2 linked regions of the Lonchura striata genome follow. The protein of the gene in region 2 binds, or shares a complex with, the protein of the main gene of each other region. Links are inferred from orthologs where the notes say so. Each region holds a gene or a part of one and is shown on either strand. Other genes may lie near its edges.

Region 1 (3,745 bases), on a different chromosome or scaffold from region 2:
TCCTGGGCTGCATCCACAGGGGCTTTGCTAGCAGGGACAGAAACTTGATCATCCCACCCTGCTTGGTGCATTTCAGGCCACACCTGGAGTATTGTGTCCAGTTCTACTCCTAGCAGCTCCAAAAAAAATTGTGGACAACCGGAGAGCATCCAAATTAAGGCTATAAAGATGATCAAAGGCTCAAGAACACACCCTGAAGGACTGAAGAACTTCCTTTTTTTCTGCCCCAAGAAGCTTGGGGAGACCTTATCACAGTATTGTGGTACTTACAGAGTGGCTACAGTGATGGAGGCTCTCTCTTCACAAGAAGACAAAAGGCAACACGTGTTAAGCTGTAACAGGAGAGCTTTCATTTTGAAATAGGGAACTTCTGCCCAGTGAGAACAACCAATCACTGCAAAAACCTCTCCTCAGGGAGTTCTGACTGCAGGTTTTCAAGATGGTGTTGGACAGGATGTTAGATTATCTCATCATGGTTCCCTTTACTACAACAGGTTGTACCAGATAATCTTTCAGCACCCTTCCACCTGTTGCTGTTCTATGGTTCTGTGATTTTATAAAGGTCTATGGTGCTATATTACACAGACTTCAGTAAAGCAAAAACTGCACAGGAACAGAGAATTCCAATAGCACTGTTTTCCATATAATTTATAATAAAAGTGTTAATTATGCACATTTTGAAAGACTTTCAACATGAAAAAAGGTTGTAGCCCATTGAGAGTTGGCCTCTTCTCCCAGAAAATCAGGGACAGGATGAGAGGACTTAAGTCTTAAACTGCACCAGAACTTGTTGTTGTTGTTGTTTCACAGAAATGGTGATTAGACATTGGAATTGGACTGTCCAGGGAGGTGGTGCAGTCACCATCCCTGAACGTATTTAAGAAAAGGGCGAGCATGGCACTTAGAACCATGGTCTAGTTTACATAATGCTCATTCATATGTTCAACTCGGTGATCTCAAGTCTTTTCCAACCAAATTGATTCTGTGATTCTGTAACAGTAAAATAATGATGATGGAATTTACAGTTGTCTCCCTTTCTATTGTGTCACATTCTTATATAGCCCAGGCCCGTGTTGCTATACACTTCTCAATGAGATTGTCACTCAACACGTTTATCCCGAGGCGCGGGGCTCCCGCACCGCAGCATCCCGAGCCGGCAGGGTCACCGGGGCAGTCTGTAACTTTAAACCACCGCCACAGCGGGCTCTCGCCCTAGCACCCCCGCCTTGTCCCAGCCGTCGGTGCCGCCCCGCGGGGCTGGGAGCGGCAGGGAGCCGCGGGCCCGCCCCCGTGTGACGAGCGCTGCCGGGTCACGCCCGGCCAATGGCGCCGCAGCTCCGCAGCGTCACCGGCAGGGCGCGCGCCGCGCGGCAGAGGCGGAGCGCTGCCGGCACTCCCGCGTCCCGCGGCCACGCGCGCGCTGCTCCTCCGCTCTATGGTCGCCGTAGAGATCCACGGCGGTGGCGGATCAATACTGGGACGGCGGCGGCCGTGGCGCCGTGGGGAACATGGCGACGTTGGTGCTGGATAACGGCGCCTACAACGCCAAGATCGGCTACAGCCACGCGAACGTCAGGTGAGGGGCCGGGCCGGGCCGGGCCGGGGCGGGCGTTGGGCGTCCCCTCACGGCTTCGCCGCCGCTCTCCGCCAGCCCCGAGCCCCTCGGCCGCTCACCGGCACGCCGGCCCGCAGCGCGCCTGCGCTCGCCGCGGAGAGGCGCGGCCTGCCCCGCCCCGCCCCTGCGGCGGCTGCGGACCCCGCACCCCCGCCCCTGTGTCACACCGTGCCCCTGTGGGTCACACCGTGTCCCTCTGTGTAACACTGTGCCCCTCTGTGTCACGCCGTGCCTCTGTGTCACGCCGTGCCCCTGTGGGCCACGCCATGTCCCTCTGTGTCACACCGTGTCCCTCTGTGTCACACCGTGCCTCTGTGTAACACTGTGCCCCTCTGTCACGCCGTGCCTCTGTGTCACACCGTGCCCCTGTGGGTCACACTGTGCCCCTCTGGGTCACACCGTGTCCCTCTGTGTAACACTGTGCCCCTCTGGGTCACACCGTGCCTCTGTGTCACACCGTGCCCCTGTGGGTCACACTGTGCCCCTCTGTGTCACACCGTGTCCCTCTGTGTAACACTGTGCCCCTCTGGGTCACACCGTGCCTCTGTGTCACACCGTGCCCCACTGGCCGGGGTTGGGGGAGAGCCCCTGGCGCTGTTCTTGCTGTGCCGGCAGCAGGGTTGCAGCTCAGCGCAGTGTGCGGCAGAGGTGGGGGGTGGTGTTCGGTTTTCCAAAAGGTGTCTCTTCTGTACTGGAGTTGTCAGAAATTAAACATTTCCCCTACTACTGGCTCCAGTTAACGGACTAAAGCCAAAATACAGCAGCAAAAATATTATTGAAATTACAGTGTTTATGAAAGTGGCGTAAAGAAAGTGAATGTGTCTTATACCATGTTTAATAGGAAGCTTTCCAATCTTTTCCAGCGTTATTCCCAACTGTCAGTTCAGGTCAAAGACTGCACGCTTGAAAACCTTTACGGCAAATCAATTGGATGAAATTAAGGATCCCTCTGGTCTTTTTTATATTCTTCCCTTTCAGAAAGTAAGTAAGATATCTTCAGTTTAACATTAAAGCCAAATGTAAATTGTTCTAAGGAATAGTTTTCATACTGTATGTCCCAACTGCAGGGTTATATGTAGTATCACACAAGAATCAGTCAGCAGTGTGAAGTTTAACAGTCATAGAATTGTTTAGGTTGAAAAAAACCTTTAAGATAATCAAGTCCAAAAGTTAACCCTGCACTGTCTGGCCCATCACTTAGCCATGTCAGTAAGTGTCACATCTGCACATCTTCTAAATACCTCCAGGGATGGTGACTCAGCCAGTTCCCTGGGCAGCCTGTGCTAGTAGTTGACAGCCCTGTTGGTGAGAAAATGTTTCTATTCTAAAACTGTCTAGTGCAACTTAAGGCTATTCCCTCTGGTCCTGTCCCTTGTTATCTGGGAGAAGAGACCAACCATCACCTCACTACAGCCTCCTTTCAGGTCACTGCAGAGAGCGATAAAGTCCCCCTTGAGCCTCCATTTCTCCAGGCTAGACAGCCTCCCTCAGCCTGGTCCTCACAGGATTTGTTCTCTGAACCCCTCACCAGCTTTTTTGCCCTTCTCTGGACTTGCTTCAGTCCTTCAATGCCTTTCTTGTTGGGAGGGAGCCAAAACTGAAAGTAGGATTCAAGGGATGGCCTCAGCAGGTGCAGGAAGGCAATCCCTGCCCTAGTCCTGCTGGCCACACTATTGCTGATGCAGGCCACGATACTCTTGGCCACCTGGGCACACATTAGCTCATGCTCAGTGGCTTCCAACCAGCACTCCCAGGTCCTTTTCCACTGGGCAATGTCCCAGCCAGCCTGCCCCAAGCCTGTAGTGCTGCATGGGGTTGTTGTGACCCAAGTGCAGGATGTGGCAGTTGGCTGTGTTGAACATCATAAGATTGTCCTCAGTCCATCAATCCAACCCATCCAGAAATCTTTACAGAGCTTTTCTATCCTCCAGCAGATCAACAGTCCTACCCAATTCAGTGCTTTCTGTTGAATTACACCCAATCCCCTTGTCCCAGCATGAGCCCTGGGGGCCCCTGTTACCAACAGTCTGGACAAGGGGATTGGTGACAGGATGCCGAGTGGTTGTAGCACCATTCAGCACCACTCTCTGGCCTGGACATCCAGCTAGTCTTTTACCCAGCAAAGAGTTC
Region 2 (3,745 bases):
GACCTCGTGAAACACAGATGTTTCTGTGAGGCCATGAAACAACCTGCTGGGACTCTGGAGTGGTTTTACCCATTGCAATTGCTCGAAGCTCATTGGGAATACGTGCTGTGGGTGCAGCACAGCCTCAAATGCTTACAGGAAGGCCTTCAAGATGCAGAATAGAATTATTCCACAGTTTCACTGGACACTAGAAACTAATGAGCGACACCGAGCAGGTAAGAGACCATCCCCACCTTCCTTGGCAGGGGAGCTGGACTAGGTGGTCTCAAGTGGTCCCTTCCAACCTTAACGATTCTGTGAATCTTTGAAAAAGTTTTAGAGAACACCCTTGGAAAGTCTTAATTTATTTTTGTGAGCTAAAGCCAGCAGAGGTTTTGTGAAGGCTCAGGGCTCCTGGCGCACTGTCAGCGGCTGTGGGCGGGCAAGGGACAAGACAGCGAGCCAGGGACACCCAGCGCTCCCGCAGCCCCGGCAGCAGGACAAACGCTGGCTCCAGCGCCAAATCGGATTGTAGAACGAAAGAAAGAAAGAAAGAAAGAGCTGAAGTGCGGCAGGGCCAAAAAACCTGCGAGCAAGAACGAGCTGGCTCCCCCTGCGGAGAGCTCCGCTCGCCGCTCCCCAAAACCGCCCTTGTCGATGCAGAGAATCTCAGAACCACTTAGGCTGGAAGAAACGCCCAAGATCAGAATCCAGCCTATGACGGGTCACCACCTTTTAACCAGACCCTGGCAGCGAGTGCCACGTCCGGCGATTCCCTGAGCGCCTCCAGGGACAGCCACCCCGCCACCTCCCTCCTTCCCGGCCCTACTCCTCCGCAGCGCCCGCGCCCGCCCGGACCGCCGGTGCGCGCCGCACGCGGAAACGGGCGGGCGGACCCTAAAACCCCGAGCCCCGGGGCTGACGGGCAGGCTGGGCGTCCAATGAGCGGCGGGAGCGCCGCGGCGCGGGCCAATGGCGGGCCGGGGGCGGGGCGCGCCGGAGCCGCGGTGAGGCGCGGGCCGCGTGCGAGCAGCGCGGGGCGGCCGGGCCGGAGCTGCCGCTGCCCTGCCCCGCCATGAAGATCGAGGAGGTGAAGAGCACCTCCAAAACCCAGCGCATCGCCGCCCACAGCCATGTCAAGGGGCTGGGGCTGGACGAGAGCGGCGCCGCCAAGCCGGCGGGGGCCGGGCTGGTGGGGCAGGAGAATGCGCGGGAGGTGAGCGCGGGGCCGGGCCGGGCAGGGGCGGCTGACGGTGCCCGACCGCGGGTGGGAGCCGTGCCCGGGTTCTGTGCGGCTGCTGCGCTCTGAGGCGCCGGGGGGCGGCCGCGCTGTGCTGGCTCTGCTCCTGCTTCGCGTAGCGACGGGGACGGTCTCCCGGGTGCCGGCGTGCTCACTGGGGTGTTACAGGCAACGAAACCGAGCACAAGTCTGCGGGTTTGATGCACGTAGGGATTGGAGCATCCGCTCCTGTGCGGGCCGGATAAAGCCATCATAGAATCACAGATTGGTTTGGATTGGAAGGGACCGTAAAGATGATGTCTCGTTCCAGCCCCCTGCCGTGGGCAGAGACTCATCCCACCGGACCAAGTTGTTCAGAACCTCATCCAGCCTGGCCCTGAAAGAAGCTCTGTAGGGGATTTGTGGCTCAGGCAGCGAAGATTAATTTCTTGCTTTACTTTCAAACCTTTGTCTGTGCGTGGGACAGCGAGAGGGAAAAGCAGTCGGGGCTCACAGATTGAGTTTCGTTTTCTGTGGTTTTTAATGTGTGTCAGATAAAATGATTGTAGAAAGTATGTTTCCCGAACTTTCTTTTTGTGTGCATGACACTGAAATCTTTATTTTTTGTAAAACCTGTTATTTCTAAATACTTTAGGTAATGTTGGAACAGAAGATACTATAGCAATACTTGTGTTAACGGTATAAATGCCTATTTAACTTACAGGCATGTGGGGTTATAGTGGAGCTAATCAAAAGCAAAAAAATGGCTGGCAGAGCAGTGCTGTTGGCAGGACCTCCAGGAACTGGCAAGGTATTACTTTTCTGTTTTGTTACAAAATAAAGTATTTCCAAATCTGTTTTAATTTGTCAAAACCGTTTTAGGGTAGTGGTTACAAAGTGTTTTCATATGCCAGATTTTTTTTCAATCAATGTACTCATGTAGTTTTCTACTTGATATTTTTGCTTTTGTGGTATCATCGACACTGGGAGTACCCGTTGTTGTGTTCAGCATCTTTAATGTGAAACCACCTCTTGTAGGTTACTAAACACATCAGTAGCAAGAGCTCTGAAAAAGTTTTAGAAGTTACTTTTTTATTAAAAGCCAGAAAGGTTTTTGCTTGGTTTACTTTTTTTCCTCCATGCTATTTAGGCTTTTTGCATCTGTAGCAGGTGTCAAATTCAAGCAGCCAGTATGATGTCTTCAGGGTTTTTTAAAGCCTTTGGCCAAGGTCAACTGTGTTTGAGGAGGGTTTTTGTATGTGAGAAATATATGTCAGACAGAATAGCCATAAATTGGTAGGTGATATATAGAAGGTGATACAATGAGGAAAGTTAACTTTGTGCAAAAATAATAATTTCTTAATTCTCTTCAAAATTAATGTCTGGGTTTTGTATTTCTTTTTTCCTTTTAAAGACTGCTTTGGCTTTAGCTATTGCTCAGGAACTGGGAAGCAAAGTTCCTTTTTGTCCTATGGTTGGAAGTGAGGTCTATTCCACTGAGATCAAGAAAACAGAAGTTCTCATGGAAAATTTCCGACGTGCAATTGGTAAGTTTCAGGAAAAGAAGAATGAAGTGTTTGCATGATACTTTGCTTTTTCCCAGTCATCTGAAAAGGAAAAACTTTTCAATGGTCAAGCCATTTTCAGGTTTTCATATACTTACTTTTTTCAGTACTGATTCTAATTTAGTGAATCTTTCACACTTAGTGGAGTCAGGTTTTGTGTGTACAAAGTGTAATTTAATTTTTGTATTTTGGTTTATACTTCATCAAATTCTTTTATCTGTCAGATTCACCTCTCCATTTTGCCTATGACTGAATAAAGCTGAAAGAAAAAGCAATTTTTAATTTCTTACATTAGCAGAAATACTTGTAGACAGAAAAATACTCTTCCTATTTTTTGTTCTAGTGATTCCACCCTGGTAAATTAACACTTTTAATCAGGGGCTCACAAACAGCAGCATTAGCCTGACTTACTATTCCAGTGAGCACAGAGAAAGTTCCATGCCAACTGAATAAACATTGTAACTTAATGTCTTCCTCAGTTCTATGCTACATTTACAAGTTTGATGTAAATTGGTTTAATTTGCAACGCAATCTCAGTGACTATCTAAAATCTCTTTACACAGCTGCTGCTGACAGCTGACAAATGCAGAGAGAAGTAGCCCTGGTTTGTGTGAGGATTGGCTAAAGAGAACCCCGTTGATTTTAGTCCTGAATGTATTAACAGAAATTTTCCTGTTTCAGTACCATGTTTCCTATTTGGCTTCATCTGGCAGCAGCAGGGTGAAGAAGTCTCTCAGTTCTTCAGTGAAACAAAAGTATTCCATTGACTTTTATAAGGAAGCAACTTTCAGTAGTCTCTGGTCTTCTGGTTACCATGAAACTGGCAGGGCCTGGGGGAGGGAAGCCTCAGTAGTCTGCAAAATTTCCTTGATGTGATGAAGTTCCCTGTCAGAGGTTTAGAAACCTGAACCAGCAGGTGGAACTTAGGCCATCCATGTTGTCAGTGCTAGAGATAGCAGAGGTTTAACAGCCAGCTACATTG

Evidence for each region. The genes of interacting proteins can lie anywhere in the genome.
Region 1: the proteins of RUVBL1 (region 2) and ACTR6 are in contact, whole or in part, in a cryo-EM structure (PDB 6IGM), measured with the Homo sapiens proteins. The link is inferred for Lonchura striata from reciprocal best matches to the Homo sapiens genes RUVBL1 and ACTR6. Residues at the interface, in NP_003698.1 of Homo sapiens: Lys162, Thr163, Ala164, Lys165, Gly166, Thr167, Tyr209; in NP_071941.1 of Homo sapiens: Tyr217, Tyr300, Arg338, Cys339, Leu340, Thr341, Pro342, Thr343.

Annotation. Positions count from the first base shown.
Region 1 is NC_134607.1:55,970,703-55,974,447, forward strand, and holds the start of ACTR6 (actin-related protein 6), read left to right. Parts: upstream 1-1,333; 5' UTR 1,334-1,508; coding exon 1,509-1,576; intron 1,577-2,478; coding exon 2,479-2,596; intron 2,597-3,745. UniProt on the Homo sapiens protein: Required for formation and/or maintenance of proper nucleolar structure and function. Plays a dual role in the regulation of ribosomal DNA (rDNA) transcription.
Region 2 is NC_134614.1:13,220,559-13,224,303, forward strand, and holds the start of RUVBL1 (ruvB-like 1), read left to right. Parts: upstream 1-981; 5' UTR 982-1,054; coding exon 1,055-1,195; intron 1,196-1,922; coding exon 1,923-2,009; intron 2,010-2,612; coding exon 2,613-2,745; intron 2,746-3,745. UniProt on the Homo sapiens protein: Possesses single-stranded DNA-stimulated ATPase and ATP-dependent DNA helicase (3' to 5') activity; hexamerization is thought to be critical for ATP hydrolysis and adjacent subunits in the ring-like structure contribute to the ATPase activity.